7 linked regions of the Coturnix japonica genome follow. The protein of the gene in region 1 purifies or fractionates together with the protein of each later gene. This does not show direct contact. Links are inferred from orthologs where the notes say so. Each region holds a gene or a part of one and is shown in the gene's direction. Other genes may lie near its edges. The genes, in order: POLR2C, RPRD1B, MED19, MED26, RPAP2, MED9 and CTDP1.

Region 1 (2,929 bases):
GGCCCAAGGCAGCGCTGATGCAGATTCCTTTGGTGGCAGACTGGGCTGCATCCTCATGAGCCTGCTGTTGTGTGCAGTACCTGGAAACAGCCCTGGAGAGATTCTTGACAAAATCAGTGTCAGAGTTAGAAGGACCTAAAGAAGTGGTGATTGCTGTTGGAGCTGTGTGTTCCCTGATGATAATGGGTTTCTTTCCAAGTTCATCTTGCTTCTAGTGAAGACAATACAGAGACAGATGTCTCTGCTATCCAAGGATAGTTATTGTTTTGGTTTTAGTTTTGAGGCTGCTGGCAGAGTGCTGGAATGCAGCTGGACTCTCAAAGCAGACGTCATGGTGAAACAAGGTTCAGTCTCTGCCCTGTTTTCAGTAATGGACAGCGTGGCAAGTAACATGAAGGCTCATGAATGCTATATATTTGTTGCAGGTGGAAGGTTTTGTTGGAAAATGCAGTTTTATTGAGGACCACTGGTGACAGGACACGATGATCTTGGTCTCATTGGGTCTGAGGGAGGCTGGCAGGAGACTGTGGTGGGCATGGAGTTTTCTATGCTGGCTTCTCAGGCTGCTCAAGGTGGAGGAAATAGAAAGGGCTACATTAATGTGAACTTTTTTTCCATGATTTGATCCAGTGCTGACCTTCCCTGCTCTCATTCCAGGCCCAAGAGTGAATACTCAGAGATCGATGAGGAGGATGCTCAGGCTCCATATGACCCCAATGGGAAGCCCGAGAGGTAGGAAGCTGGATGTGCTCCCACTGCTGGGAGGAGGGGGATGGAGCTGGGTGCACTGCGTTTGCTGTTGGTGTGAGTTGGATGTGCTGCACCAGCGCAGAGAGCTGCTGCTCCCTGGAAAGCAAGGCAGGAGTTGCAATTAACTGGTGATGTGCCCAGGCCTGGCAGGTTTTGCCCTCTGGGTGACTCTTCAGAGTTCCTGTTACCAGGTAGGGCACTGCAATATTTGGTCAAGTGTCTTGGAGAGATGGCTTAGGGTGATGCTGAAGACACTGATGTCATCAGCAGTATTATTCACCCACGTGAGTCTCTCATGCTCTGATTGCTGCTGCTGCCCTCTCTACCAGGTGATAATGTGTTGCAGGAGTGCCTGCAGCCAGACAGCCAGTCTTAGCTTCCCCGTGCAGCTTTCACATCACATAGCTGAGCAGAGAAAGCCTCACAAGGGCTCTTGCATTTTGGAGGGTCGTGAGGGCTGCTATGAGCTCCATGGGAGTCTGTGGCTGCTGTTGTAGCAGGGCAGTGCTGGCTCATGCCCAGAGGGGAGCTCAGCATCTCCCTGCAGTGGGTCCTGGTGGGTTAGAGCTGCTGTGTGGGTGCTCTCTGGTTTTGTACCTCCTCACAGAACACTTGGTAACTTTCTCCCTGACTTGTAACCTCAGGTTTTATTACAACGTGGAATCTTGTGGCTCTTTGCGCCCCGAAACCATCGTTCTCTCTGCACTGTCTGGCCTGAAGAAGAAGCTGAGTGACCTCCAGACCCAGCTGAGCCATGAGATCCAGAGTGATGTGCTCACTATAAACTGAGGTGGCCCTTTGCAGGAGATTGTCCAGGCAGGAGTGATGCAGAAGGTTCCTGCCTCTGCCTGGCTGCACTCGGGGCTGAGGGATTGTCTCCTCATCTCCCTCTGCTTCTCCTGGTGCAGATCTGCTCGTTAGTAGCACTTCTCTTCCCAGAGAAAGCCATGATGACACGTAGGGTAAAGCAGGAGGAAAGTCTTTGCTGGGTGGGGGTGGGCTTTGTCTCTGATCCGAGTTTTGGACTGTGGTCACGTAGTGTTTGGGACTGGGAAGCATGTACCTCAATTACACAACCCTGTCCTGTTTGTATGTCTGTTCCTTAAGTGTACTGAATAAAGCCTTAACGCCTGTGTTCAGTCATCTCTGAAAGCTCATCTGGGGCTGCAGGAGGAGATAACACATCATTTAGTTCCCTCCAACAGACATTAACTTAATGAGGCCTGCTTTGGAGGGAGCGTTGCTCTGTAACAGCTGATTGCTGCTCTTGACCTACTGAGCTCTGTGATCTACTGAGGGTGCCAGAACCCCTGCAGCAGGTAGTGCTGGAACTGCCAGGGACAGGACTATGTTTAAAGCAGATGTTCAAGGCTGGGCTGCTAAGAGCCACATCACAGGAGGGAGGGTGGGCCAGGGAGACTTAGCTGTGTTTAAGGACTCCTTTGGAGCAGACTCTGCCCATGTGCTGTGTGCCATGGGGCTGGGCAGTGTCTGTCACTGGTAACCCCCAGCTGGCAGCTCTTTGCAGCATGCAGGGGCTGAGCTGGCTCTGTGCTTAACCAAAGCAGTGGCCAGAGGGCTCCAAGAGCTGCACAGTCACCCCTTCTCCCCTTCCTCAGCACCCAGGATGTGGGACAGGCTCCTTGCTTTGCTGAGAGAGTGTGAGCAGGACTTGCTACAGCCCTCTTCCCTCCCCAGCTCTTGCAGGGCTTCCTTTGGAATGTCCTTGCAGGCGCTGGAGGCAGAACAAAGCTTGGAGCCAAACGCTGCCTGTAGCATGAGGAAATCTCCCCTGCTCAGCATTTTTTGGCTCTCTGGCATGTGATACTCCAACATGTACTTCCCGAGCATGTTTGGATGGAACAGACAAACAGGAAGGGTGGATAAGGGTTGTTTATTCATTGAGCAATTCCTTAAAAAAAAAAAAAATAAGAAAGAAAAGAAAAAAGAAAGAAGGAAGGAAAAAAAAACCCTAATATTTTTTGGTCATAAATGTGAAATCTTTTCCAGCTGAGGCGTGCAGCCAGGAAAAGAGCAGGTTACACCCCTGACCAGTGCCCAGGGACCCATATGCACCCGCAGCTCCCCAGCCCCATCCACAAGCTACACAGACCCAACACACAGTATTTACAGGCCACAGACCACAGGTTCCCACATCATCACAACGCTCCCTGCTCCC
Region 2 (3,882 bases), on another chromosome or scaffold:
AAAATGTTGGCAACTACCTTTTGCTTGATTTCAATCCAGTGCGGCCAAACCTTTGTCTGATTTATATTTAGTGATCACTTGTGTTCTGAGCTCACATGCCAGTCTAATGTAACAGCTGCTGGGGTTGCTAATGTGTATCGTCTATCTCATGACAAGAAGCCTCTGTTTCACAACCAAACACTCCAAGCTTATCAAGCTGGGGTGGGAGGAAGCACATTTCAGCAGATTAGTAATACCTGGGGTGTTCCTCAGACTGCTGCCTTTGTCAGTGGGATGTGTCTGAATAACGCTGTGTCAGTTTCCTCCTTTGGATCTGCACAAAAGCCAGTTGTCTGGAGAAGAATATAGGAATAGAGCAACTATATAATGACAGTTCTGTCAAATATTCCACCAGGTCTCAGTGTCTGTGGGGTCGTTCATGTAACTTTTGTTGAGGTATCATGGCAGGATCAGTGGCTCTGAGATGCTGAAGCTTGTGGACTTCTTGCTGGGGCAGGCTGTGAGTCTGGGTGCAGATGGCAGCTCTACAGTCGTGCAGTAGCTGCACAGAGAACAACCAAAACCTTGCCACTTTTTCCTAGAATCCTCACTTAAACAAACAATCCTGGCTTAACTAAAAGCACTGTAAGTTAACCTGTGTTTGATGCTTGGTCTCTCGTCTCTTTCCTGCAGGAATATAAACAGAAGCTTGCTCGGGTAACCCAGGTCCGCAAGGAGCTGAAATCTCACATCCAGAGCCTTCCGGATCTGTCACTGCTGCCCAACGTCACAGGAGGTCTGGCACCTCTGCCGTCTGCTGGTGACCTGTTTTCAACAGACTAGAACAAATGGTGTCCCCTAGTTTCCATTATTACCAGCAAAAGTAAGAAGACTGTTGACTGGAAATCCAGTCTTCCCAGATGTACAGTAGGAAAGAACTTTCAGACCCTGCTTTCAACCTCTTGGCTGCTCATGCTCACCTTCTCTCTGTGTACACTGGCTCACAACGAGGGCAGGATAAAGAGCGAGTTTTTGTGAGCTCTTAAGGGAGTGGGGATAGTCCGTATAAGCAATTTTCTCTCATAATTTTTCCTTACTCTTTAGTTTGTTTGCTCTTAGCACTTGTTACCCCACGAAAGTCATGAGAATCGTGTACATATATGGAAAGTGTTCAAAGAAAGGCTGACCGTATAACATTTTCCTCTGTAAAACTATTGTATTATTTCAGATTGTCTTGCCTGTTTTTGCTGGGTCTCTGAAGCTCGTATCTGAAAGCAGTAGTGGCTAGTGGGCTTCGTAGGGGTGCGTGCATGTGTGTCTGCAGGTATTATATCATGTCAGTGAAGGACAAAGGCACCTACTGAACAATGGCACAAATATTTTAAATCTACAGTTCCTCATGCTGTTGTAGGCCTCACATAAAAAATAGTTCCTATTTGGCATGAACATAAATTGAAACTCACCACAGGCAATAAAAATAAACAGCTTTTCTTTGTGAATTAGAGAGCTTCATAATTTAAGCTCTGCTGAGCCATGCAGAACTGGATATTACCTAAACGAGAGTGGAAGTAAATTTTGTTCTAGCTACCTTAGATTTATACTATATTTTTCCTCTTCATTATACAAAATAAACGATCACAGAAGCTTTGGTTTAACTGAGAGGCTGGAGTGTGGTGGATTGTAACTGGCCGTCACCCAGTGGCAGATCTGCTCTGAAGGTGGTCATGCTGAAAGCATTCTATAAATTCTCCCTGTAGCTTTAGTCAAGTTAATTGATGAACAGAAGTTAAATGTGATATAAACCCCCCCGTTTTTTTCTTAATCTAGAAAGTAGACCCATATACACATCCAGCATGCACATGTGCTATATCTATGCATGTATTAGAAGGATGTACTTAATTTTGTATCACAGATTGTGAGTTGATTTTATTATTGGGGGGGAAAAATTAGAGTACTCTTTAATTTGCTAATGTTCTAGCTGCCATGGATGTCATTAGATTTCAGTTTGTGTGGTAGGTCTATCAAGCTGGACTCTCATCACTGAAAACCATTCCTGTCTGGGAAAATAATCTGTTTAAATCTAATATCTCCTGCTGTGGAACACCTGAAGTTTCTGGAAACACTTGGTCTGACAGCACAGGCTCTATCACAGAGAGGCTGAAATGAGTTACGTTGGTGTGCTGTGTTTGTGCCTCGCTCTGGTCTTAAGCTGCAGTTCTCAAAGACGTGAGAAGATACCTATAGAAATGCAAATCTTGGTCTGCATTAATTTATTTTATGGAGTATTAAGTAGCCAATTGACATTCAGTTAAATAACACCATGTGTTTGGTGGTTTGGTTGTTGAAAAGCTCCTGTGCTTTTCTTACCGATGTTTCACTTTTGTTTATTTTTTTTCCTGTGAAAAGGAAACTTCTTCCACCCCTGTTGCCCAGCCAGGCAATGCCTTTCTTTTTCATTGGCAGGAAACTTTACGATGGCAGTGAATTATATTTTCCATGAATTGGTTTGATCTTGCAACCATTTGTGGACCAAATGTTGCTTACATCAGGCACCCAACACAGTCTGCTTTTGCCAAACATTAAAAAGGGAATAAAATAGGAAAACAAAGATAATAATCAAGGGAAACCAAACAAAGCCACCAAAGCTCCAAAATCCCAAACAAGAAGATGAATTTCTGTCCTGCCACAGCTCCCGGAGTTACCTTGAGGTTGCTTTAAGCAGTGATTGCTTTGACTGTGGATTGAACCCATATCCACTGTAAGACAAAACGTGTTGCCATCTCACGCTGTTGTTCTGGGCAGACGTCATGTGAGGAAGCGGGCTGTCTGTCTTTTCTTATTCTAGAAATGTTTGGACTTGTTGGTTGGTTTTTTTTTCCCCTAAGTGTGAGTGTGTTTTCTTTTGCTTAATTTAAATGAAGTCTCGTAGGTTTTACTTTCCTTTTAATGGGCAAAGGACATCTGGTGAACTGAGTAACGTTCTCTGAAGGTCAAACAGATTTTCCCAAGGTTTGTCTCTCTCTCTTTTTTTTTAATGCTAAAATCTGTATATTAATGGTTTTAGGAATTAATGTAGGCATATTGGCTGCCATTTGTGACAGCAGTATATTCTGAAATGTCTCATAGATCTATATTTTTGAATAAAGAGGGTGTCGTTGAATAGCGCTGGTTTTACTTGCTTCATTTGCAGTGCAGGTGCTGCTTGGACTCACTGTGGGTTTTGTTTGGGTGTTTTTACCCTCTGCATTTAAAGGACAGGAACTGCTGATCGGTCCTTATGGCAGAGTTTGAAGATGTGACCATTACTTGGACAAAGTCGAGCTGTGATCTGCATGTTGTGGCAGTACTTACACTGAATGGATGCGCAGCGTTCTTAGGTCATTGCATTCTACTTTTATTGCAGCATTCCTCAGAACTAACCTCTGATAAGAGAAGCACAAGGCACTGAAGACTTCCGGCTTCCAAGCTTATAAATTAATTCAGGTTATATGGAGGATGAATTAATAATTAGGTTTGGATACAAACAAACAGAAACCAAACCCAAACAGGAGCTTGGAAACTGACTTTCCTGTATGAAGCATTGAGAGCTGCTGCTGTTCCTGCAGGGTTTTGATGCTGTCTAATCAAAGCCTTTCCTCTGTAGAGGAGGAGGATCTTCACATCTTATTGTGTATTAATTCTCTTAGAGGTTTTGGGGGGGAGCTTATGGGTTCTTCACTCCAATTAACTGCTATTCAATAGTCTCTTTGGGCAAACTTGATAATTGTTTCATGTGCCTTGGAGAGTGTCAGCAAAGCTGCTTATAACTTTTAGCAATTTACGAATCTTTCATTAAGGAGGCTATATTTAGTCTGCTTTTGTAATCGACTTGCAGGAAGTTTGATCTGCAGCTTTCTGTGAGAA
Region 3 (4,057 bases), on another chromosome or scaffold:
GGCCTGGTACCTTCCTCTACCCTCTCGGCCCCACAGACCTGGTGCTGACATCCGTGTATCGGCCAACATCCACCTTCCCAAAGTGCAGCCCCGAGCAGTTGTACCTGGGAGACAGAACACAGCTCTGAGTGAGCACTGGGCTGGGACCGACTCAGCAAGGCCTCAAAAGCAGGCAGCACTCACTTGAGAGAGAGGTCAGCGAAGATGGGGGCAAAGGACTGGCACTCACTGGACCAGTTGGCGAAGAACTCGACGATCCAGGTCACCCGCTTGTCTCGTTCCAGCTCCTCCTGCCACGCGAGTCAACAGGGGATGGTAGGCAGGGAGCCCGGCACCCCACGCCAACTCACACTGGGTAGGAGATACTCACATCTATGGTCTTATCGTTGAAGTACTTGATATACTCAGGTCCCATGTAAAGGGGTGGCTTGCAGGTCATCAGGAACACTGCAATAACAGCATCCCTGAGCCCAGCGCCCACCTGGAGCGAGGCCTCTGCCCCCTTTTTTCCACTTCTGGAATGCCCAAGAGACACAGGCTTAGTCTGAGGGAGGCTCCTCCTTCCCCAGAGCAGCCTGTATGGCTACAAAGACAGCAGCAGCACAAGGCAAGATGGCTCCAGCCCCATTTGAGGAAGGCAATGCACAGGATGGGCAGAGACAAGGCCTGACAGGAGCACTGTTACAGCCCCTGCATTACGGATCCCCCCCCACTTCCCCACGTGTCTCACCGATGCAGAGCGTGAGGTAGAGCAGGCCCATGCGGATGTCAAGACGGAAGAAGAGGATGGCGTTGGCCACTTTGCTGAACATGAAGATGTTCCCAATGTGCTGCTCCACAGTGACTGGGAAGGAGGGAAGAAATCAGAGATGGGGCCACGTCTCTTTTCACTCTCATCCCTCAACTGTTTCCAGTACAGAGACACCCCATCAGCAGCTTATACTCAACCCAGCACTGCCCCAACTCACTGGAGCGCCGGTTCTTCATCATGACGATGGCGCTGAGGAACATGAGGATCTCCACCTCCCGCTGCACAGGAGAGAAACGCAGTGAGCACCGTGACAGCCACAGCCACAGCCACAGCCACAGCCACAGCCAGCACCTCGGGCACAACCGAGCAGCCCTGCAGCACAACCACAAGGCCAAGCAGCCATTCCAGGCCGCTCCAGCCTTCATCCTCCGCCTGCCCTCGATCAGGAGCCGGGGCTGCGCACAGAGGGGCCGCCTCGGCTGCACCCAGCGCCGGTGATACCCGAGTAGGCCACGGCACAGGCCGGCCCGGTGCTGCCGCTCACCCAGTCGAAGTCGCAGGGGTTGCCGTCCTCCCGCTGTGAGGGCAGCCCGCGGCACAGCGGCGGGACCTTGCGGACGAGCAGGAATGCGGTGGCGAGCAGCGCGGACAGCGGGTAGTAGGGCCGGGCCAGCCAGCGGCACAGCCCCGGCACCGAGTACAGCAGCGCCAGCAGCGGGGCCAGCACCGCCATCTTGTCCTCCGGCCGCCCGCCGCGCTCCCATTGGCCGGAGCTGCACGTACGTCCGCGAGGGGCGGGGCGGCCCCGCGCGGGGCAGGGCGGGAAGATGGAGAACTTCTCGGCGCTGTTCGGCGGGGCCGAGCCGCCTCCCGCCGCCGCCGCCGCCGCGCTGGGCTTCGGGCCCAACAAGGGGCCGGGAGCGGGGGCCGCTCCGCCTCCAGCAGCCGCCGTGCCGCCGCCGGGAGACGACGCGGCGCGCAAGGCCGCCACCGGCCCCTTCTACCTGCTGCGGGAGCTGCCGGGTGCGGGCCGGGCCGCGGGGGAGGGGGGGGGGGCGCGGGGCCAATGAGCGGGCGGGACGCGCGGAGTGACGGCTCGTCGGGCCAATGGGCGCGGGCGGTCCGGCGAGGGGCGGGGCGCTGAGGGTGCCGGTCCGTCCGCAGGCGGCACGGAGCTGACGGGCAGCAGCAACCTGATCACACACTACAGCCTGGAGCACGCGTACAACAAGTTCTGCGGCAAGAAGGTGAAGGAGAAGCTCAGCAACTTCCTGCCCGACCTGCCCGGCATGATCGACCTGCCCGGCTCACACGACAACAGCAGCCTGCGCTCCCTCATCGAGAAGCCGCCCATCTGCGGCAGCTCCTTCACGCCGCTCACCGGCACCATGCTGACCGGGTTCCGACTGCACGCCGGCCCGGTGAGCACCCGGGGGAGGAAGGGGGGATGGGGGTAAGGAGGGGGTCCGCTGACATGAGCCCCTGCAGCTGCCGGAGCAGTGCCGCCTCATGCACATCCAGCCGCCCAAGAAGAAGAACAAGCACAAGCACAAGCAGAGCCGCACGCAGGACCCTGTGCCCCCAGGTAGGACCGTGCCCTGCTAACTCTGCACCCCATGTGTCCTGGTAACTCTGTGCCCCGCTCACCCCTCCTCTGCTTCCTGCAGAAACCCCCTCGGACTCAGACCACAAGAAAAAGAAGAAGAAGAAAGAGGAGGATCCGGAGCGCAAAAGGAAGAAGAAGGAGAAAAAGAAAAAGAAGGTAGGTTAGGAGGCAGCGTGCTGCTCTGCTCTGCCTGCACCAGCCCCGTGCCAGGCCGCGGCAGCACCACACGTTAGGCCTCCAGCAGGGCTTGGCACTGGGTTTCACAAGGCCTCACGCCTGTCCTTCTTCTGCAGAACCGACACAGCCCCGAGCACCCCGGGGTGGGCAGCTCGCAGGCCAGCAGCAGCAGCAGCTTGCGGTGAGGCTGCGCTGTGCTGCTCTATGGAGCTCCCTGCCCCAGCTGTGGACTCGTCCCATCACAGAGCACAGCGGGGAGGTGTGGGCACTCATGGTCCCCGCTTGCAGAGAACGTGGCCTTGCAACCCCCCTGCTTGCACTGTGTGGCTGATGGGGACCTGGTGACGCGGACGCTGCTGGAATGGGGGCTCCTACCACACCTAAGCAACGTGGTGCATTGGGATCTCACTTTTTTATTCACCTTTTAATTAAAGTCTGCTCTGAGGAAGAGCTGGTGCCAGTGGCGGCTCTGACTGTTGGCCAGCGGGGCAGGGCAAGGAGCAGAGGCCTTGTGCCTGTCCCATCATACTCCAGGCCTTGCAGCTCTCTGGGCTGTGAGAGAAGGCTCAGGAGGACACAAGTGACCCCAGTTCAGCACCATGTCCCCCAGGGCTGCCCCTGTGGGGGCTCCTACAGAAGAGCCAGAGCCTCACTGAGTCCTGGGACATGTTCCAACCCTGACAGCTCCACTTACCTGCACTGAGAGCGCTGTGCCCCAAAGTGCCCTAAGGAAGCACATCCCAGCTGTGAGGGCGCAGGCACTGGCAGCCCTGTAAGGCTGGGCCCGGCTCTCCTTGTCCCCTTCCTTTCCACTCCAGACGAGGGAGGGAAAGCTGAGAAGTGAAGGACAGGATCCTTCACGGACTCCTCCATCCCTGGACACCGCACAAAGCACACGCATGCCCGCTGAGGTGACTCATTAAATATCCTTTTATTCCTCGTTTTTAAAATGGCTAATCATAATAATAAAAAAAAAAACAAAAAACCAATGGCATGGCTCTGCGGAGGCCACAGGAGAGATATTGCCATAGAGAAAGAGTCAAGTAGTGCGTGAAGTTGCGTGGGCCCGGTGCGGGGTGGGCTCCCCAATGGGGCTGGGGGTGGCGGGGCAGCACTGGGCTCCTTGGCTGCGTTTTTTGGCATGTGATGAGAAAATATTGCTCGACAGGGATGTGCCTCTTCCCCACATGGAGATAAAAATAACCACGTGACAGCCAAAAAAAACCTGATCACCCATTAAAAAAAAAAAATAATAGAAAAAAAAACCACAAACCCTGGGGAAATGCTAAAAAAAACCAAAAAACAAAATATAGAGCAAAATGTGCAGGTGCAGAAAGGCTGCAGCCCTCACCTGCACACCAGCAGCTCCCCCGGTCATCGCCAGCTTCACACCACCTCTGTAGCCAGTGGGAGATGCCGGGCACAGGGGCTCCAGATCCAAGCACACGGGAGGGGGGTCCACAGCATGATAGAACCCAGCAGGAGGGTCCAGGATCCCGCAGGCCCCAGTGTGACATGGGCAC
Region 4 (3,973 bases), on another chromosome or scaffold:
TTGGATTCATGATGGACCAAAATACTTCAGAGATGCATTTCTGTTGGGAGTCACGTGGCTGTGCTGTAAACCCTAGTTGCAGTCCCAGGATGGCTGTTTTCCAGTTGGAGTTGAAATCCATCTTGATTTTAGTCAGTGCAGTTTGTGTTTTGATACATGTATCACAACATGGTATGTATTTCTCACCAAATCCAGTCTGTCTTCCTTTGAGGTGCTTTTCTGAAGTAATCGACTTGTAGAACAATTCTTTGCTTTCAGGCATGTTTTGGGAACAATCTCTTTGCTTCCTTCCACTTACGGAACCATGTTGGGACAACCTAGGAAAGCTCATTTGTTGGCCTTTTGAGATAGGGAGCAAAGATGGAGGAAGAAGATAGGACATCACGCTTTGGTTTGTGCAGTGGAGATTTATATTTGTAACATATGGATTAATTCAGCTCTTGCATCTGTAGCATTTTGTACCAGGCTTTTCTTAGGGTAAGCATTAAAAAGCAGGAATTTAACTTAAAAATGGGGTCAGAATTTTGTTTTGAATTATGCCTGTTGGTAAAACAAGTTTTGTGTTTTGTAGGAAACAAGGCTTGGGAGGCTTATCAATGAGGTGAGGAAGAAGACATCCAATGAGGAACTTGCCAAACGTGCCAAGAAGTTGCTGCGGAATTGGCAAAAGTTGATAGAACCTGTAACCCCAAATGAGGCGGTGCCAAGAGGGCTGCAGAATCCACCCGGATCAGCAAATGGTGGTGCTCACAACTGCAAACCAGAAGCACCCCTTCCTGCCGTGGCTGGGTCAAAACCTATCAGTGAATTGAAAAGCAGGAACGATATCCAGAAACTAAATTCTCCAAAACCAGAGAAATTGGGAAATCGGAAAAGGAAAGGTGAACACAGGGATGGGCACCAGGGCCCCCCTCCCACCAAGGTCTCCAAAGTTAGTCATGAAATATTACAAAACTCTTCATCCCCTCCAACAAACGGAATTGGAGGTAGTCCCGAGAGTTTTCCTAGTCCTGTAGATGTAAATCTACATGCAGGGCCTGAAAGCAGCAGGACAGAACTTAGTGAAAATGATAAACACAATAAGATCCCAGTAAATGCTGTAAAACCTCACACCAGTTCTCCAGGACTCGTAAAACCTTCAAGCACTTCCTCGTTATTAAAGACTGCAGTGCTTCAGCAGCATGATAAATTGGAAGAAACCACCGGGTCGCACCAACCCAAGAGTCCGCGCTGCTCCTCGTTTAGCCCTCGAAATGTTAGGCACGATACTTTTGCTCGGCAGCATACCACGTACTCACCAAAGGATTCAATGCCTAGTCCATCTCAAAGGTCTCAGTTCTTAGATACTGCACAGGTGCCATCACCGCCACCATCCTTGATGCAACCATCAACGCCTCCAATGCCAGCTAAAAGACTGGAGTTCTCTCAGCAATCAGCATCTGAGGTGTCCCAGCACTGGCAGGAGCAGCAGGTACCTTGTGACAGCCAGCACAGGCACACAGCAGGGACACTTCCACAGCACACATCTCCCAGTTGCAAAACCAGCTCCCACCCGGGGGAATCTCTCATGTCGCACATCGGCTTTTCACAGGACGCTTCAAAAATGGACAGTGATGATGCTGCTTCAGGTTCAGATAGCAAAAAGAAGAAAAGGTACCGACCTAGAGACTACACAGTCAACTTGGATGGGCACGTGACAGAAGGGGGTGTGAAACCTGTGAGATTAAAAGAGAGGAAGCTCACTTTTGATCCCATGACAGGACAGATAAAACCTTTAACACCGAAAGATCCTTTGCAGGTAGAAATCCCTGCACTTACTGAACAGCACAGGACAGAAACGGAAAAGCAGGAGCAAAAACCCAACCTGCAAAGCCCCTTTGAACAAACGAACTGGAAAGAATTGTCCAGAAATGAAATAATTCAGTCATATTTAAACAGACAGAGTAGCTTGCTGTCTTCATCAGGAGTACAGACTCCAGGAGCTCACTACTTCATGTCTGAGTATTTAAAGCAGGAGGAAAGCACTAGAAAAGAGGCTAGAAAGACTCACGTTCTGGTTCCTAACAGCAAACCTACAGACTTGCCTGGGGTCACGAGGGAGGTCACGAATGATGATCTCAACAGAATACGTGAACATAACTGGCCAGGCGTGAACGGTTGTTATGATACACAGGGTAACTGGTATGATTGGACACAGTGCATATCTTTAGATCCACACGGGGATGATGGTAGATTGAACATCCTGCCTTATGTCTGCCTAGACTGAGTAACAGGTTTGCTAAAATGCTTTTACATTCACAGTTAGCGAGAATGGCAGACACTATGCCACTTAAAGATGGAGAAAGCCTCCTGTCCTGGACAAATAGGCCCAACGAGCAGAGGGTGAGAGGGAGCTGGTTACGTACAGCTCTTCCCTTTAAATTCTCCTTTTGTGAAATGCTGCTACCAGTTTACTAACAATTGCAAAGGAAGGCATACGAAGGTTGAGAAAACTGAGTTCAAAACTCTCTAGCGAGCCAGCTATAAAAAAAGTGTTAGTCCCCAAGAAGTGAAGATGATTTCCAGCACTTTCTGAATGCCGGAATCTGACGACAGGCAGGTACAGAGAAAATTGTGGAAGTTACCTTAACAAAATATGCATCTATTTATTTGACTTGATTTGGATTTTTATTTGGCAGTGAGGTATTCAAGAGACGATGTGCAAAAACTGTAGTTTTATTTGTATGGCATCTCTGAACATGATTGTGTTTTTTTTTAAAGTCATGTGGTACGGAGATTGGCTTTTAAACAGCAGGTGTTGCACTGCAGGCTGGGAGACCAGCTTCAGCTCAACATTCCATGGGCATCCACATGTTTCAGTCTGGTTTTGGTTTAAATCCAGTCTCTGAGAAATGCTGCAAAAAAAAAACCCAGATATTTCCTGACATTTTTGATCCCGCCGCCACCAGCCAAATATTTTCCTCCTTTTCCCTTCCTGCAAAACTACTAGGAAACAAAAAACTAAATAAAAAAATCACCTTTTCTAGAATCTAAATGTAACGAGGGTGCTACAAGTCCGTAACTGTACTGTGAGAGGGAAAAAGGAAGCCTGTTTGTATGCTGGAAATATACTTGTTACCATTCCTTTAGATATTGTTTGCCTTATGGATATCCATCATAAACGCAATTTGCAAAAACAAAGAGCCTTAGTGAATGTACAGTACCTAGACTTCTGTGTTCCTGGGATGCAGAAGGGAGCAACTTTGCTATTTGGTCCTTTAAGTGGACACATTGTGATATAAATGTGGAAATAAAAAAAAATTTGCACAAAGCAGTTTGTGAATTATTTATATTGAACTAATTTATTTTTGAAGATCTGCTCCATTCCAAGTAACAGAACCCAGTGGAGCCGTGCGGGTCCCACCGGGCAGTGCCAGCCGCTGCTGTTAGGGACGTAGTGATGTCTTCCAGTTGTGTTGGTGGTATTTGGTCACAGGTTGGATCGTTTTGAACTCTGGTTGCATCCAGGGGTGAGAGACTGATGACTGTTAATGTACCTCAACGTCTAAGGAATTGTAGTTCATCTTCTCACAGTAATTTTGTAATATATTGTTCCTAATTGTTAAAAAAAATATATATTTCTAACAGCAGCCTAATTCAGTATAGAAAGCTCAGAATTTCTATTGCCTGTAATTGCTTTAACGTTCGGGACAAGTTTTCTACAGTCCCCGCTGCTGGATTTGTGTCCAGGGCAGAGCGGGAGGGGACACCAGACCAAAAACATGCTGAGGTTCAGCGCTGTGCATTAACTGCTCTGTGCTGAGCCTCAGTGCAATGGGAGAGCTGTGGTGAGAGCAGAGTCAAAGCTCTTCGCTGTCAAGTTGTGATTTCACGCGTGTTCCTCACCAGGTATACGTTGATTTGGTTCATTCCATGGAATACAACCGAGAACGTTTGGTTTATTTTAAGTCATTCTTGTTAAAACCTGCTTTTG
Region 5 (4,794 bases), on another chromosome or scaffold:
GTAACCTTTCTTTTAATATATAAAAAATAATACATAAGAGGTTACCAACAGCTACCACAGAAGCATTTCAGTAGCTATTTCTAAGTCTAAACTACAGTTTCTTATCTAGATGTATTTTCCCCAACAATCTACCCCTGATATGTAGTACTGTATCTAGTTTGAGTACTGTATCCAGTTCTGAGTACTGGATTCATTTCCGGGCTCACCGGAACAAAAAAGACAGAGTCCAGTGGAGGGACACAAAGATGACAAAGGGCCTGGAGCATCTCCCATATGAGGAAAGGCTGAGTAAACTGGGTCTATTCAGCCCTGAGTAAAGAAGACTCAGAGGTGATCTTATTAACATCTATAAATATCTTAAGTGTGGGAGTCAAAGGGACACAGCCAACCTCTTTTCAGCAGTGTGTGTGGACAGGACAAGGGGAAATGGCAATAAACTGAAGCACACAGGAAGCTCTGCATCAAAACACAACAGAACGTCTTCATGGTAAGGGTGACGGAGCACTGGAACAGGCTGCCCAGGGAGGTTGTGGAGTCTCCTTCTCTGGAGATATTCAAGACTACTCCTGGACACCTACCTGTGCAGCCTGCTGTAGGGGGCCTGCTTTGCAAGGGGGCTGGACTTGATGACCTCTGGAGGTCCCTTCCCACCCCTACAGTTCTGTGATTCTGTGATATGTTCACTTTGACATGTTCTGCTGAGAGAAACAAGAACACTTCTTTCTCCAAGAGGGAAAACTTGGGAAAACAGTCAGGGAGAAGTGAATGAAACATGGAGACTAAGCCCAGATAGCAGCAAGGAGATCTTCTAACAAGTATCTTGTGTTCTGAAGCCATAGAGTGAACCTTTAATTGCACTTATGACTTTTATGAGAAGTACTTACGCATCTTTGTATTATGGCTTGAAGTTCATCAACTGCCATTATTGCTTGAGTTTGCTCTTCAGGCATTGAAAACTATTAGGAATTAAAAGGTACAGTATTAAAACACATTAAGTAAATGCAGAAATTTAAAAATAAATTAAAAAAAATCATGTTATTAAGACACCAAATAGAGAAATGAGAACAGTCTTTTAGCTACTGCATGGCCACATACAGTGGGAGCTGTATGTGCCTTCATATGTGCCTTCAGGTGCCTGCTGCCTTGTACCAACAGTGGTTTAGACCAGTCAAGACTACATATGCAACATTATTCACTTCCTTGCAGTGCTGGCCGATCAAGCATTCCATTTTCTTCAGGTGCAACAATTAAAAACTTCAGGTTTGGGGATTCCTGTTTGTTTAACAGCTTTGAGTACTTTCTTCTGCCTAAGGCTCGTTATACAGCCACTGTCCCTAACCCACCACCAATTTCCATACGCTGTCAGCTCTGCTGTTTTCCCCCCCAGCCCTCGGACACGTGACGGCACACACGGCGCTGCTCAGCTCCCCACGCTGTCAGGCCTTACGACTTAACCCACTTTCTAATTACATCTTTCCAGCGGTTCCAGCGGCAAACGTACAGCACCCAAATAAGCACAAACTTACTGCTGCTTATACTCAGAGCCCTCCCTCCTCTATTAAAGTAGCTTTCCCACGTGGGGTGCCACATACACGCCAGCACGAGGGGCTGCTAAGGTCAGCCTTTAACCCAGGGCTGAATTACAAACAAAACCCGCAAGAAGCGCTCCCCGCTCACAGCACCCACCGTAACCGCTCACACCGCGCTGCCGCCGCTCCTCGCTCCCGGCCCGGGCCCGGCCGACACGGCTCCGCCTCCGGTGAGAGGTCAGAGGGAGGGAGGCGGCAGCGCCATGATGGCGGATGGGAAGACGCCGTGCAGTGCGAAGGGGAGGCCCGGCCGGCGGCGGGCAGGTGAGTTCCGCGCCGCGCTCCGCCCGCTCCGCAGGCCGGTACAGTGAGTTAATGCAACTCCTGGCCGTGCCGGGCGGTAGCACGGCAGCACAGCAGCACGGCAGCACGGCCTGGGCTGGCGGGGCACGAGGGTACCGCGAGTTCGGGGCGGCTGCGGCAACACAGCGGCTGCACGGGGCAGGGCTCCCCGCAGGAGGTCGGATGAGGGCAGGCCGTGCTCACCCCGCAGCGGTACAAAACCGTACCTGACACTGCCCAGCGGTTATTGCCTTGCTGAAGGCATAGCCAACAACAGCGAGGCTCTGTGCATTCCAATGTGCATTCCAATGTGCTTGCAGAAGTCTTCGTGTTTTTTAAAAGTTCCAATGTTTTCATTGCTAAAGGAAGAACAGACACTTATATGCTTCCATGTTTTCGATTTCTAGGACATAAACGGTCGGCTGCCCCTAAAAATGAAGATGCTGATCAGAGGTATCATTTCTAGCAAACAACACACTGCGATCACTTTGCTTTGCTTCACTCTGGAACTGTGCTCTTTTCCTCCTGTGTTTTTGGCTTTGCCAGAGATGACTGACCTCCAGAGACACCAGCATCCACCTCCAGCAGGTTTTTGGTGTGATGCCGTGGGTCTTTTAAACAAACATCAACTTAGCATTGCTTAGAATAGGCATAGCCATCCTGTTTGGATAGAGCTGCACATTACATCTGAACAGGGCTGAAAGCTGCATCCCCTTTAAGCAGCATAGAACAACACAGTACAGGTGCCTCTGCCAGCTGCTCCCACGTGTCAGACAGCCGCCCATCAGGGAGAGATGCCCAGAGGAATCCAGATTTGCAGTGGTGACACAGATGGCAGGAGAACAACTTTCCAGGGGGAGGTGGAGCTACAGGAGGTATCTCTGTTCCATCACCTGGCTGATGCACAGTTCAATTGGCCTGTCTGACAGAGTGAGAATAAAGTTCAGCAAAGGCTACAATCTACATATAGAGAGAGAATATATCAAAATATGCCTCACTGCAGATACATGGAAGGTACAGGAAAATACCAATGGGTGCATATACTGGAATAATTCTGTTGTGGTTTGACAATAAAAGTCAATACTTTTCCTGACTGGGGAGAAAATAAAGCAAAGAATCTTTTTGTTTGTCTTTAGTGGTTATTACAAAATTTATAGCCCACTTATTGCTTTGTTTGGCCAACTTGATGAGATGCAGAAAATATAAACTACTGTGTTTCAGAAAAGAAGATATCCAGGTGGGGAATTGCTTATGGGAGCTGCTTTCTGTTTCATTCAACATCTCTTACGTTACAGGAAAGCAGCCCTGGAGGCTTCTACTAGAAAAAAGATTGAACTTGAGAGAAAGGCACTGCGTATTGTTGAGCAGCTCCTGGAAGAGGACATTACTGAAGAGTTCCTTCTGAATTCTGTACGTGTCACAAGTTTTTGTGTTATTTTGTATCTTAGTGTCCAGCTGTTTTTTAAAAGTCCTTAGAACAATTTGCTGCAGTTCAGAGCAGACAAGTTCATCCTCTCTTGTCAGCTCTGTTGATGGCTGCCTTACTTTCAAGGGTTCTCCAGTGAAAATATGCTCCAGTTTTGTAGGATGAGATATAATTGTGAATCTCTCTCTATTAGCATACTTTATGCCTCTGGGAAGCACAAAAAGTTAAGTCCATATCATGCCCTCTGTGAGTTTAGCCAATGGTGCTCTTTACCCCACAGTTCAAGTGCTGTATATTAAACTTACAGTTATAAAATGGAAAGTATGTATTTGCTTATTTACATCTGAGTGTGAAAAGTAACAGATCTTCCAGTATTCTTGAACTATTTTCTTGTAATTGCAGGGAAAATGTATTACTCCATCTCACTATAAGGACGTTGTTGATGAACGGTCTATCATCAAACTATGTGGTTACCCCGTATGTCAAAATAAACTGGAAAATGTAAGTTGCTTTTTTTGTTTGTTTTTGAGTAATGTTATCATAAGAACCTAATCACATTTTTTATTCTCTTGCTTATTTTTTTCATTTTAAACTTAGAATGTTAAAATATAGATTAAAATGCTGTCAGGTATCATTTCAGTATAATGCTTCTGAAGTTAAAAGTTAAATCTGATTGATTGACAACTGTTGCTGTATAAGGGAATCAATTACAATCTATTTGGACAGTAATAAAGATAAATAAGGTGTGGTGTCATAGCTATCCTTTGTGCATGCAGAAACATTTTAATCTGTTCCTTCTGTACCTTTGTAAGAAGGGCTGATATGAAAGAGGTAAAACACATGGGTATTACTATGTGACTGCAAATACATCCCCTCCAAAAACAGACCTTACTTGTGTCAAAATCAGTCATGCCTAAATACAACGTATTAGAGCTTAAGTGGAACTATGAGTTCAGTTACATAACCATAATACCAGGTGTGATACAACCAGTTATCTGGGAAAAATAAATCATGAAAGGAAAAATAGGTACCGTTTTGGATTTCACATGTCCCAACAGAACTTGGAAACTATTACCTTTGATGTAAGCTCCCCTCTGGATTTGTCTGAATAGTGGCAGAGTCACACATGAACAGGGTTTCTTCTGTGACAGCTCCATTGGTTCACTCCCAGCAGAGGCTTTCTTGTAAACCTGAAGTTGCCTACTAAGATGTGAATGAATAATGAGAAATTGCAGTTCTAATGTCTAAGGAGATACAATACCAAGAGAGCTGCTGTAGTACGTAATTCAGTTAAAACTGAATACATTACTTATACTGAAAACGTGAATTAAAAGGAAAGTTTTATATAACATTGTGACAATCTTGCTGATGAAAGCATGTCATTTTAGGTGCCAAAACAGAAGTACAGGATTTCAACAAAAACTAACAGAGTTTACGATATTACTGAAAGAAAGGTATGGTAACAAGCTGTTTTTAGAATGTATTTAATATTGTCTC
Region 6 (4,839 bases), on another chromosome or scaffold:
ATAAAGGCCTCACAGCTTGGAGCACTGTAAGGGCAGCTGAAGATTAGGGCAGTGCTCCTTGGCCCAAAAAACCTCTTCTTCCTTCCCAGGCCTGTCAGCTGGGTCTTTACCCTCCCTGAAGTCTTCACCGAGGCTATGGACACACCAGTCATGGTACAGACAACAGGCAGACATTCAAACAGTAACTGTGCACTCTGGTCCCATCAATTCACTGGTGTCTTCAGTGATGGAGGAGCCAGTGGCACCATTTCCTCACTGCAAAACATGAACATGCCTAACCAGCCCTGAAGGATGGAGATGGGTCACCTGAAGGAGCTGTTCTCATGAGGAAGGGAAGGTGTGAGGCAGACAGGGCTGAACACCACTGAGACAAAGCTGTAGATTCCAATTGCTGTGGGAACACGTGAACCAAAATGGGAACGGAATGGTACAAAGAAATTCTGATTGACAGTGCTGTAGTTCTGCCTGAATGGTATCTGCATGTTGTCACCTACTCTAATGACTGCCTGACTCACCCATGAGAGGCAGGCATCCAGCAGCCTAGCAATTAGCCACACTCCTTGATAAAGTCTAGGGGAGAGTTAAAACCAGCACAGCACAGAATAAAATGACCCCTGAGGAGCCTGAATCAAGTCTTGCTTTAGAAACAGCCCATAAAACGACGTGCAGAAATGAACCTCTCTGCTCAGCCCCACACAAAGGCATTAGCATCCTGTACCTCCTGCTTGGTTCAGTCAAGGGCCATGAATCCCACCAGCCTTCCCGCAGGGATCTGCTCAGCAGGTCCTGGGCACCCCTGGGCTCTCCTGCACATTCCAGAACTGGTGACCAAGCCGGGATCTATTCTTGACAGTAGAACAATGTGAACAATTGCATCTGCTATATTTAGAGCGAGCAGTCAATAATACATACGCACAAACGGTTACCAGCGTTCTCATTTGATACATAAATAGTTCGCTTTTCAAAAGAAATTGTTTTTTAAAATGAAAATTACCTTTCCCGTCATCCCTGGGCTATAACTAACTGATGAACCCGGGAGCTGAATTCAAATAAAAAACAAAATTATCTGTGCTCTCTAAGCCAATCCAGGAAGGATAACTCACGACTGTGGCTGCTGTTATCAGTGCTACAATAGTGTGTATTGACAGAGCGGTTTAAACGCGGCAGCAGCAGTTTGCTGAAGCACACTCCTGATGGTGCACAGGGGCAGCACTGCTCACCCTCACCTTCCATGCAGCGTGTTCTCCATCACCCCCTTGCACTCACAGCCCAGGCACCCAAGAACCCCACCTCTCCCCTCCTTGCAGCTTCATGGATGTCTCAGCCCTGCTGCTGGATTTTTGCCTCCATTCCTTCAGGTTTCTCCAGTTCCAAGCCCTGAAAGCCCTTCTCTTCTCCAGGCTGAACTCCCTCAGCCTGCCTTTATATGGGAGAGGTGCTCCAGCCCTCACAGCATCTCCATGGCCCTCCTCTCCAACGAGGACAGCCAGGAACAGTTGGGCTGCACACAGGTCAGGGATGCTGTAGGTCACACTGTGGGGTGCTCAGTGTGGGTGTGCAGGGCACTGCCTTGGGAGCACAGGCCCGGCTCAGCTGGGGAACACCTCAGCAGCAGTGCAGTCCCATATCTGAGACCCAGTCCCAAAGCTTGACCCCGGGCTCAGCCCCCACACCCACCCTCACAGCCCAGGACCCAGGGAGGCCTCCGAGCCCCGCTCCGGCCCAGGCCTCAGCCCCAGGCCACGGCCCGCAGCATCCCCACACCCCAACCTCCTGCCCAGGCCCAAACTGAGCCCCACACACAAGCAGCATCTGATGCTCAGCCCAGGCCGCCGCCGGGGCGGTACAGAGCGGCCGAGCTCCGCCCCGCTCCGTCACTGCTCGGCGCCGGGGGCCGCCATGGCCTCGGTGGTGTCCGCAGGCCGAGGGGCCGCCGAGGAGCCGCCGCCGGCCGAGCCGCCCACCGAGCAGAAACCGCCGCCCGCCCCGCCGGCAGCAGCGCAGGAGGAGTTCTCCTTCCTGCCGCTCGTCCACGACATCATCAAATGGTAACGGCGGCCGCACAGCGCCGGGCCGGCCTCACCACGGCATCACCCCGCAGGGATGCTCCCTCTGCCCTTTCTCTCCCCGCTGGGGTCTATGGGGGGGTTGGCAGCTGCTCTGCTCTGAGCCGGGCCCGTAGTTGGGGTCACCGAGGTGGGGCAGGGCCGGGTGTGCAGCAGCAGGAGCCGTGCCGAGCTGTTATTGCCCCGTATTGCTGCTCTGATGGGCTGATAAGTAAAGGACGGGCAGTCCCAGGGCAGCACTGTCTGTTTCTGGGCGTTGGGAGAAAGAGGAAGGCTTGTGCAGGCTGAGTCATCCTCTTTCCTGTTCAAAATCAATGCTGTGGGGTTAAAGGTGTTCGTACGAGGGTCCTGACAACCAGCGTTTGTGGCCCAGGGTAACCCTGTCAGAAATGTTTGAGTTCCCGGTAGGGGCATCGCCCTGCTGTGACCTGGGCACGTTGCACAGTGATGCAGAGGGCACAGGAAGCGTGAATTCCCACTCCTTGTTGTGGGTCTGACTGCCCTTTCCCTGCACGCTTCTATGGGAGCTGAGGCTGCTTTGTTTCCTGCTGGGGTTCTGTGTGTCTGAGTACCCAGAAGAGGTTCACCCTTATTAACCATGCAGCTGGAGGAGCATGGCAAGGAAAGGCCGAATACCCCACAGACACGGCAGCCTAGAATCTAGCTCTCCTAGATTCAGGAGAGCTATGAGAACTCAAACCCACCCTCCATTTCCCCCCTGCGCTGCCACTGTCCCTGTGCTCAACCCTGCCTGATCCATCCAGAGGTGATGCTGAACCTGCTGCCATCTGTATATGTGTGCAGAGCCAGAGTGAGCCAGATCCACGGGCTGAGACCTCCCAGCCTCCTGTGTGTCACCAAGCAAGTCGTGGCGACCCACAATGACAGTGCTGGGATATCCTGTGCCCTGTCCCTCTGAGCCACCCACTCCCACTGCCCCGCTCCCCCCCAGGTTGGCACACAGCATTTCCTGCACGGGGTGAGCAGACGTAGGTGCTCAGAGCAGCACTGCAGAGGGGTCAGACGGCAGAGCCGAGCAGTGGGATGAGTTGCCTCATGTCCCTGACAGATGGCAAACGTATTATCCTTTAACGCCGCCGCCAGGCTCACAGCCCGGCCCTGCTGTTCTGACACTGACTCAGCCCTGAAGACATTTCACATCTCCAAGGTGACTGTGCTGGGGTGCAGTGATGTATCGCGTACATTTGCTTACATTCAAGGACACGTGTTCCTTCCTGTTGTTTGAGTCCCAAGAAAGTTCTCCCAGGCAGGGCTTGCTGTTACTTTCACCCTTGTATAATCAGATGAGGTTACCTGTGAGGTCCCTGTGCGTGGTGGGTTGTGCTGGTGTATCCAGGAGCTGCAGGTGGGACATGATGGAGTTATGATTTGTTCACAGCAGTGAAGGAGAGCTGGTGGGCAGCTGGGGAGGGTCTGAAGATCTCAGTCCTTGAAGGGAGATCCCAAGCACTGTGAGGCTGTGGCTGGACATTGCATTTAATCCTGTGTAACTGCAGGTAGCTGAACCTCTTCCCACTCTTGCTCTCCCCCCTGCCTTTCCATGCCTGCAGAGGAGCTGCTTCAATTACTTGAAAACTCCCATCAGAAACAAAACAACAACAAGCCTGAAAATAGTTATTCCTTCAAACCAACCAACCAACCAGGCAACCATCCATTCTTTGGATGTGGAGAAGAGAACGAGCTGTGGAAGGACCTGGTCGGCCCTTTGAATCCAGCATGCAGCTCGTGTGGATTAAAGGCAATGCCAACCCATCCTTCCCAGATGTGCAATGTGTGTGTGCCTGTATTTTTCCACTGTCAACTTGACCGTAAACGCCTGCATAATGGGGGTACATTATAGTACCAGCTGCGGTTTTATTTAGAAGGGAGTCATGAATATTTTGTTCCAACAGGCTGTTGAAATGAACGGGACCATCTGGTTAAAAGTTTTGCTCTCAGTCGTGTCACGATTCCCCAAAGTTCTAATCAGGCACCTCTCTGCCCTGGTCATGCCAAGCAGTTTTATTTTGGGCCTGGCTATTGAACAGGCTCCCAGCTTACAGGGGCCGTTAGCAGCCTGCTCTCGTTATTAGCGCTGCCTTGGAAGCAGTCTCGCCTTTGCCTGGAATGGTAAAACTCCTTGCTGTAGCTAACAAAGCTGAAGCAGATACTAATGAGGGTTTGAGGGCAGACGCTGCCTCAGACGACGCTGATCCTCGAGAAGCACGGAGCTGCAGAAGCAATTGTGCTGCTCTTAAAAAATAAGCTGTCGCTTCTCTTTATTAGGTAGACATCCCCGGAGAGTCGTTCTGAAGCTCCGAAATGCCGTTTTCTCTGCCATTGGACACACTCTGGTACTTTGGGGAACGATTCCTATTTTCTGCTGTCAAGCTGTTTGACTGCATCGATTTCTTGTATTGCTTTGACAACAGGTCACAGACGGGGCTGAGGTCTTTTTTCCCAGGTGCCCACACACAACCTGTGTGTGTGTAATCTTACCTTCCCCATATGGGAATTGAAACAGAGTGAGAGGCTGTGGTAGTGTTTGAAAGCTGCAGACCAGGTCTTAACCTGTAGGACTGCAATTAAGGTTACTGGATGGTGTGCTGAAAATGACCAGGAAACCAGTTTGTCCCAGCAGCTGCCTAATCTGTGTATGTGTCTCTGGTGGTTTTGTTGTGATAGGTGTGAATTAGATCCCAGGAGCAAAAGTTTCCCAGTGAATTCCAGCGTAAGCCCTGACCATGCTGGGAATGACAGTCCACCAGCAGGC
Region 7 (3,865 bases), on another chromosome or scaffold:
CAGTAAATAAATAGTTCCTCGCTTTTAGGAGTAGTGAACTAGCACTCAGTTACTGGATATTTTCGTACAGGTTCTTTGGTATTACATTGGATACCAGTAGACTTGCAGTACGTGCTGTCAGACTGTACATTTTATTTTCAGTTGGTTCATTCAGTTTCCGTAGCTGAAATGTTGTAAACATGATTGTTTTCTACTGTGAACGTTGTTCTGTAGATTTCTCTTGTGTTTTTATTTATCTTATTGCTCGGTTAGCACCAAGGCTGTATTTCTAATTTACTACTTGTTCAACAGTAATGTTTTCTGATTTTGCTGAGTAAGACTCAGCTTTCTTTATTCAGCAATTAGCTTTTCTCCAGCTAATAGTGTAATTAATGGCTAAAACTGTGCGGTATCTCTCAAGGCTGAAATCCTCGTGAAGTAAACAAGTAAAACACTAACTCTGTATGACATTTAATGGAAATGTGCTATTTCTTCCAATTGAGCATTTTTAGTCTGGGTGCTTCTTCATGTGAGAGCACCCTCCAGGTGCTTTCCCTACCAAGCTGTTTTCCAGCTGCCCCATCCCCAGCATGTCCTGATGCCTGGGGCTGTTCTTCCCCAGGTGCAGAATTCTGCACCTGTTCTTGTAACTCCATGAGGTTCCTGTCAGCCCAGTTCTTGAGCCTGAGTCCTTCTGGGTGGCATCATGACTCTGATACCTCAGCTACTCCTCAAGTTTTGTGTCATCTGCAAACTTGTTCCTACCACCCTGTACGGAAGGAAAAATAAATCTAACATCATAGTGAGCAGGTAATCAGCAAAGCAGCCGCACTGTGTCTTTTGGGCCCAGTAGAACCCATAATGGAAAGGCAGAGCAACACAGTGCTGTTCTCCTACCATTGGACATCTTGGACCCTGATTTGTCAGTTGAAACAAGGAAGGTCAGGTGTCACTGAGCCAGACAGCAAGTATGGTCTTCTGAGAATTAATGGCTCTGGACGAATGATAACAAAAACATCATTGTATATATAGAAATTGCTTTGTATTTCAGTTTTGCTTAGAAGCTCAGAAGTTTGACTTTTAATCTTCATATCTATTTCTTTTAGGTATACGTATTTCAAGTCAGTATTTATTAAAGATCTTTCTTGCTGTGTGGTACTTGTCTATACGCTTAGAAGTGAAGTGGCCTTTGCTAAATCATTACTTTTTTTGCTGAGGATACTTCGTTAATTTTTCATTCTTGCAAGTAGATGCATTCTCTAAGTGAAGCTTTACCTAACACTGAAAAGGACATCTAAGAGAGACCCACTTTGAGCATATTCCTCTGAAATTCTATCAAATGATCAAGGAGTAATTCTTGGAGGTATTTCTACAGCTCATTTTGAATTCTGTGCAAGATCTCAACTTTATTTTTGCCTCGGAAGTATATATCTGATATAAAATTCTGCTTTGGCAAAGAAAAGAGATTTTAGGGTTCCACAAATCCAAATTCTTCTGCTTATGGCTTTGTCCCAGTTGAAGTGTTAGATTTTTCCTTGGAGATCTTTCACAACCAGGAATATGATTCTTCCGGCGGAATATAGCACACATCAGCTTCCTGTGTAACGTCATGAGCTCAGCCCAGCAGTGCTGCTTCAAAGAGACACAACAAGGAGGAATGAAGCACACAAGTTGAGCAGCTAGAGCAGTCAGAGTGGTTGAGCAGTTGAGGCTTAATTTTAACATGAAAGAGATACTTAGATATTTCATATTCACATGGCAAAATAGAATGAATTCTGGTAGTTTCCCATTCTCGTGGCAGACTCACATTTTCTTGTGTTACCTGAGAGGAAGTTAAATTAACTGATTTTTTTCAAGCAGTCTTAAGTTTTGTTTCCATTCATTGTTCAGAGGAATGGGAGAAATGAAATCAATGGGAGAAATGAATTTAACAGCACTTTGCACCCGCAAGAGCAATTAAAAATCAGTAGTGGGGGTTGTTTGTCTCAAGCTGAAAAGATAGGAGTCCTTAGGCCTGTTTTTGTTTTTGTTTTTTTTTTTCCTTCTGTCAAATATTAGTGGTCTGTGTTAATAAGCAGCCAGATACTGTGATTCTTGATTCATAGACCTTTATCTCCATGTCTTTCCAGGGGCCATAAGCGCAAACTGGATGAAGATGATGCTGCCAGTGAATCCAGTAAAGAATCTAGCAATGAAGATGAGGAGGGAAGCAGTTCTGAAGCAGATGAGATGGCAGCAGCACTTGAAGCTGAACTGAATGACTTCATGTGACATTCGTGCAGAAGATGGAATTTCCAATTATATTTTCCTTCTCATAAGCAGATCAGACTTCAGATGAGTCCCTTATGTCAGTGCTCAATGTTTTTCCAAAATGTGTGTGTATATTTTGCAAAGCAACACAAGAGGTGACACGTTATTTTACAAAATCAGAAATAGATGTTTTTAAGGTGTTTTACTAAAGGAAAATATACTTTTTTAAACAAAAAAAAAGTATGGAATGGGACTTGGTGTGCTATGCCAAAGACATGTTATGAGCTCTGCAGAACCTTCATATACAGGACAGTAATACAAAGGTCTGTGCTTCAGCATACAGCAACTTCTCACAGTATTGCAGTCTGTGGTTTATTGGTAACAATCTGAAAGAACAGGATGAGATAAAGTAAGTGCGATTGCTTGAGTAGTACAGCGGGAACCTGATGAACTCATCATCCTTTTCCACAAATGAATACTATCAAATGTAAAAGGATTTTTAAAATAAATGAAAAAAAGAACAGTCTATATTTGTATAGATACAGAGAACATCGTATGCAAGCTTTGTGAACTCTGCACTTGACTCACTTGTCATTTGCTTCTGAGATAATGATCAAAAGTCATGTTTTTAAGTTGCTTTGTGGAGTAGTTGGATTCTTTAGGGACACCGTTAGGATTTTTAACTTTTCTTCTCTGTAAGCAGAAATTTAGCACAGCACACTGTGTGATCCTGTACTGCCGTAAGGAGCGTATTCATCCATTTGTGTTGTTCTTGGGAAGAACGAGTGCTACTTCAGTCTAGATAGGATTTAATTTCTTTGAAAAGAGATCTGATGTAAAGTTTTTGTATATTCTATTTCATATTTGACCCACAAAACAGATTTTCTTTCATTTAATAAAAATTCATTTTGTAGATTTTGTTTCCCTTTCCTGTATCGCAGAGGTCTGCAACAGCAGTTTGTTTGCGTCCATCAAATGTAAGGCGTCTTTCCATCTTACTTCTCCTTTTCTCTTCATGAAAACAATGGGAAACTTTGAAAACAACTGCAAAGTTAAGAGATTCTGGCAGATAACTGTGCAAGAGAAGAGAAACATTGAACTGCTGTGAAGTGTGTGAACTGTTTCATTCTGACATTTTATCTTCTCCCTTTAACTGACCTTTGAAGATACTGTAAGGGTTACTGCTGCGGTATTGAATTTCTGAAGCTAGAACTAAGGTTTATTCTGTTTCTAGCAATGGGAGAATGAGATTCTTCTAAAGCACATCAGCAAAAGAAGACTCATTAATTCAGATGTTGTGGTTAAAATTACTTTCTAGTTCAGGAATACTTAGCTTTGCCATCTCACAGTAAAATTGGGAGGATATTTTAGTACTCTGTCAGCTGCCTTACAAAGAACTGGCTAGTTTTTAAAGCTTCATAATGGCAGTAAAAGGAAGAGTGAGAAAACAGGAGAATCGTCTCCAGTTATTACTGCTTTTCCATTCAGAATGCAATGTCGTCATCTATGACATAAAAATAATGTTCTCAGTAAGAAAATACTGACCTTACAGGACATTTACACAGGTGCCACATAACTGAATTCTGCAGTGACCTGCTTTCTAGATCTGTCCGCTAAAACAAGCAGCGCTTTTCCA

Evidence for each region.
Region 2: the proteins of POLR2C (region 1) and RPRD1B purify together in Homo sapiens (affinity purification with mass spectrometry; 3 studies listed by BioGRID and IntAct, counting the BioPlex papers as one, with this or other methods). This does not show direct contact. The link is inferred for Coturnix japonica from reciprocal best matches to the Homo sapiens genes POLR2C and RPRD1B.
Region 3: the proteins of POLR2C (region 1) and MED19 purify together in Homo sapiens (affinity purification with mass spectrometry; 4 studies listed by BioGRID and IntAct, with this or other methods). This does not show direct contact. The link is inferred for Coturnix japonica from reciprocal best matches to the Homo sapiens genes POLR2C and MED19.
Region 4: the proteins of POLR2C (region 1) and MED26 purify together in Homo sapiens (affinity purification with mass spectrometry; 3 studies listed by BioGRID and IntAct, with this or other methods). This does not show direct contact. The link is inferred for Coturnix japonica from reciprocal best matches to the Homo sapiens genes POLR2C and MED26.
Region 5: the proteins of POLR2C (region 1) and RPAP2 purify together in Homo sapiens (affinity purification with mass spectrometry; 3 studies listed by BioGRID and IntAct, with this or other methods). This does not show direct contact. The link is inferred for Coturnix japonica from reciprocal best matches to the Homo sapiens genes POLR2C and RPAP2.
Region 6: the proteins of POLR2C (region 1) and MED9 purify together in Homo sapiens (affinity purification with mass spectrometry; 3 studies listed by BioGRID and IntAct, with this or other methods). This does not show direct contact. The link is inferred for Coturnix japonica from reciprocal best matches to the Homo sapiens genes POLR2C and MED9.
Region 7: the proteins of POLR2C (region 1) and CTDP1 purify together in Homo sapiens (affinity purification with mass spectrometry; 3 studies listed by BioGRID and IntAct, with this or other methods). This does not show direct contact. The link is inferred for Coturnix japonica from reciprocal best matches to the Homo sapiens genes POLR2C and CTDP1.

Annotation. Positions count from the first base shown.
Region 1 is NC_029526.1:1,904,357-1,907,285, forward strand, and holds the end of POLR2C (DNA-directed RNA polymerase II subunit RPB3), read left to right. Parts: exon of another isoform or gene 1-657; coding exon 658-732; exon of another isoform or gene 733-1,223; intron 1,224-1,394; coding exon 1,395-1,539; 3' UTR 1,540-1,893; downstream 1,894-2,929. UniProt on the Homo sapiens protein: Core component of RNA polymerase II (Pol II), a DNA-dependent RNA polymerase which synthesizes mRNA precursors and many functional non-coding RNAs using the four ribonucleoside triphosphates as substrates.
Region 2 is NC_029535.1:8,680,332-8,684,213, forward strand, and holds the end of RPRD1B (regulation of nuclear pre-mRNA domain-containing protein 1B), read left to right. Parts: intron 1-672; coding exon 673-822; 3' UTR 823-3,139; downstream 3,140-3,882. UniProt on the Homo sapiens protein: Interacts with phosphorylated C-terminal heptapeptide repeat domain (CTD) of the largest RNA polymerase II subunit POLR2A, and participates in dephosphorylation of the CTD by RPAP2. Transcriptional regulator which enhances expression of CCND1.
Region 3 is NC_029520.1:7,804,996-7,809,052, reverse strand, and holds MED19 (mediator of RNA polymerase II transcription subunit 19), read left to right. Parts: upstream 1-1,555; 5' UTR 1,556-1,578; coding exon 1,579-1,774; intron 1,775-1,915; coding exon 1,916-2,172; intron 2,173-2,239; coding exon 2,240-2,336; intron 2,337-2,418; coding exon 2,419-2,513; intron 2,514-2,650; coding exon 2,651-2,719; 3' UTR 2,720-2,984; downstream 2,985-4,057. Other genes in the region: TMX2 (thioredoxin-related transmembrane protein 2), read right to left, coding at 39-104, 184-290, 371-447, 731-844, 969-1,029, 1,296-1,484. UniProt on the Homo sapiens protein: Component of the Mediator complex, a coactivator involved in the regulated transcription of nearly all RNA polymerase II-dependent genes.
Region 4 is NC_029543.1:3,359,441-3,363,413, forward strand, and holds the end of MED26 (mediator of RNA polymerase II transcription subunit 26), read left to right. Parts: intron 1-571; coding exon 572-2,266; 3' UTR 2,267-2,949; downstream 2,950-3,973. UniProt on the Homo sapiens protein: Component of the Mediator complex, a coactivator involved in the regulated transcription of nearly all RNA polymerase II-dependent genes.
Region 5 is NC_029523.1:12,310,380-12,315,173, reverse strand, and holds the start of RPAP2 (putative RNA polymerase II subunit B1 CTD phosphatase RPAP2), read left to right. Parts: upstream 1-1,751; 5' UTR 1,752-1,792; coding exon 1,793-1,853; intron 1,854-2,278; coding exon 2,279-2,324; intron 2,325-3,166; coding exon 3,167-3,281; intron 3,282-3,699; coding exon 3,700-3,798; intron 3,799-4,685; coding exon 4,686-4,751; intron 4,752-4,794. Other genes in the region: GLMN (glomulin), read right to left, coding at 885-950.
Region 6 is NC_029529.1:4,803,487-4,808,325, forward strand, and holds the start of MED9 (mediator of RNA polymerase II transcription subunit 9), read left to right. Parts: upstream 1-1,864; 5' UTR 1,865-1,899; coding exon 1,900-2,048; intron 2,049-4,839.
Region 7 is NC_029517.1:72,181,019-72,184,883, forward strand, and holds the end of CTDP1 (RNA polymerase II subunit A C-terminal domain phosphatase), read left to right. Parts: intron 1-2,108; coding exon 2,109-2,250; 3' UTR 2,251-3,144; downstream 3,145-3,865. UniProt on the Homo sapiens protein: Processively dephosphorylates 'Ser-2' and 'Ser-5' of the heptad repeats YSPTSPS in the C-terminal domain of the largest RNA polymerase II subunit. This promotes the activity of RNA polymerase II.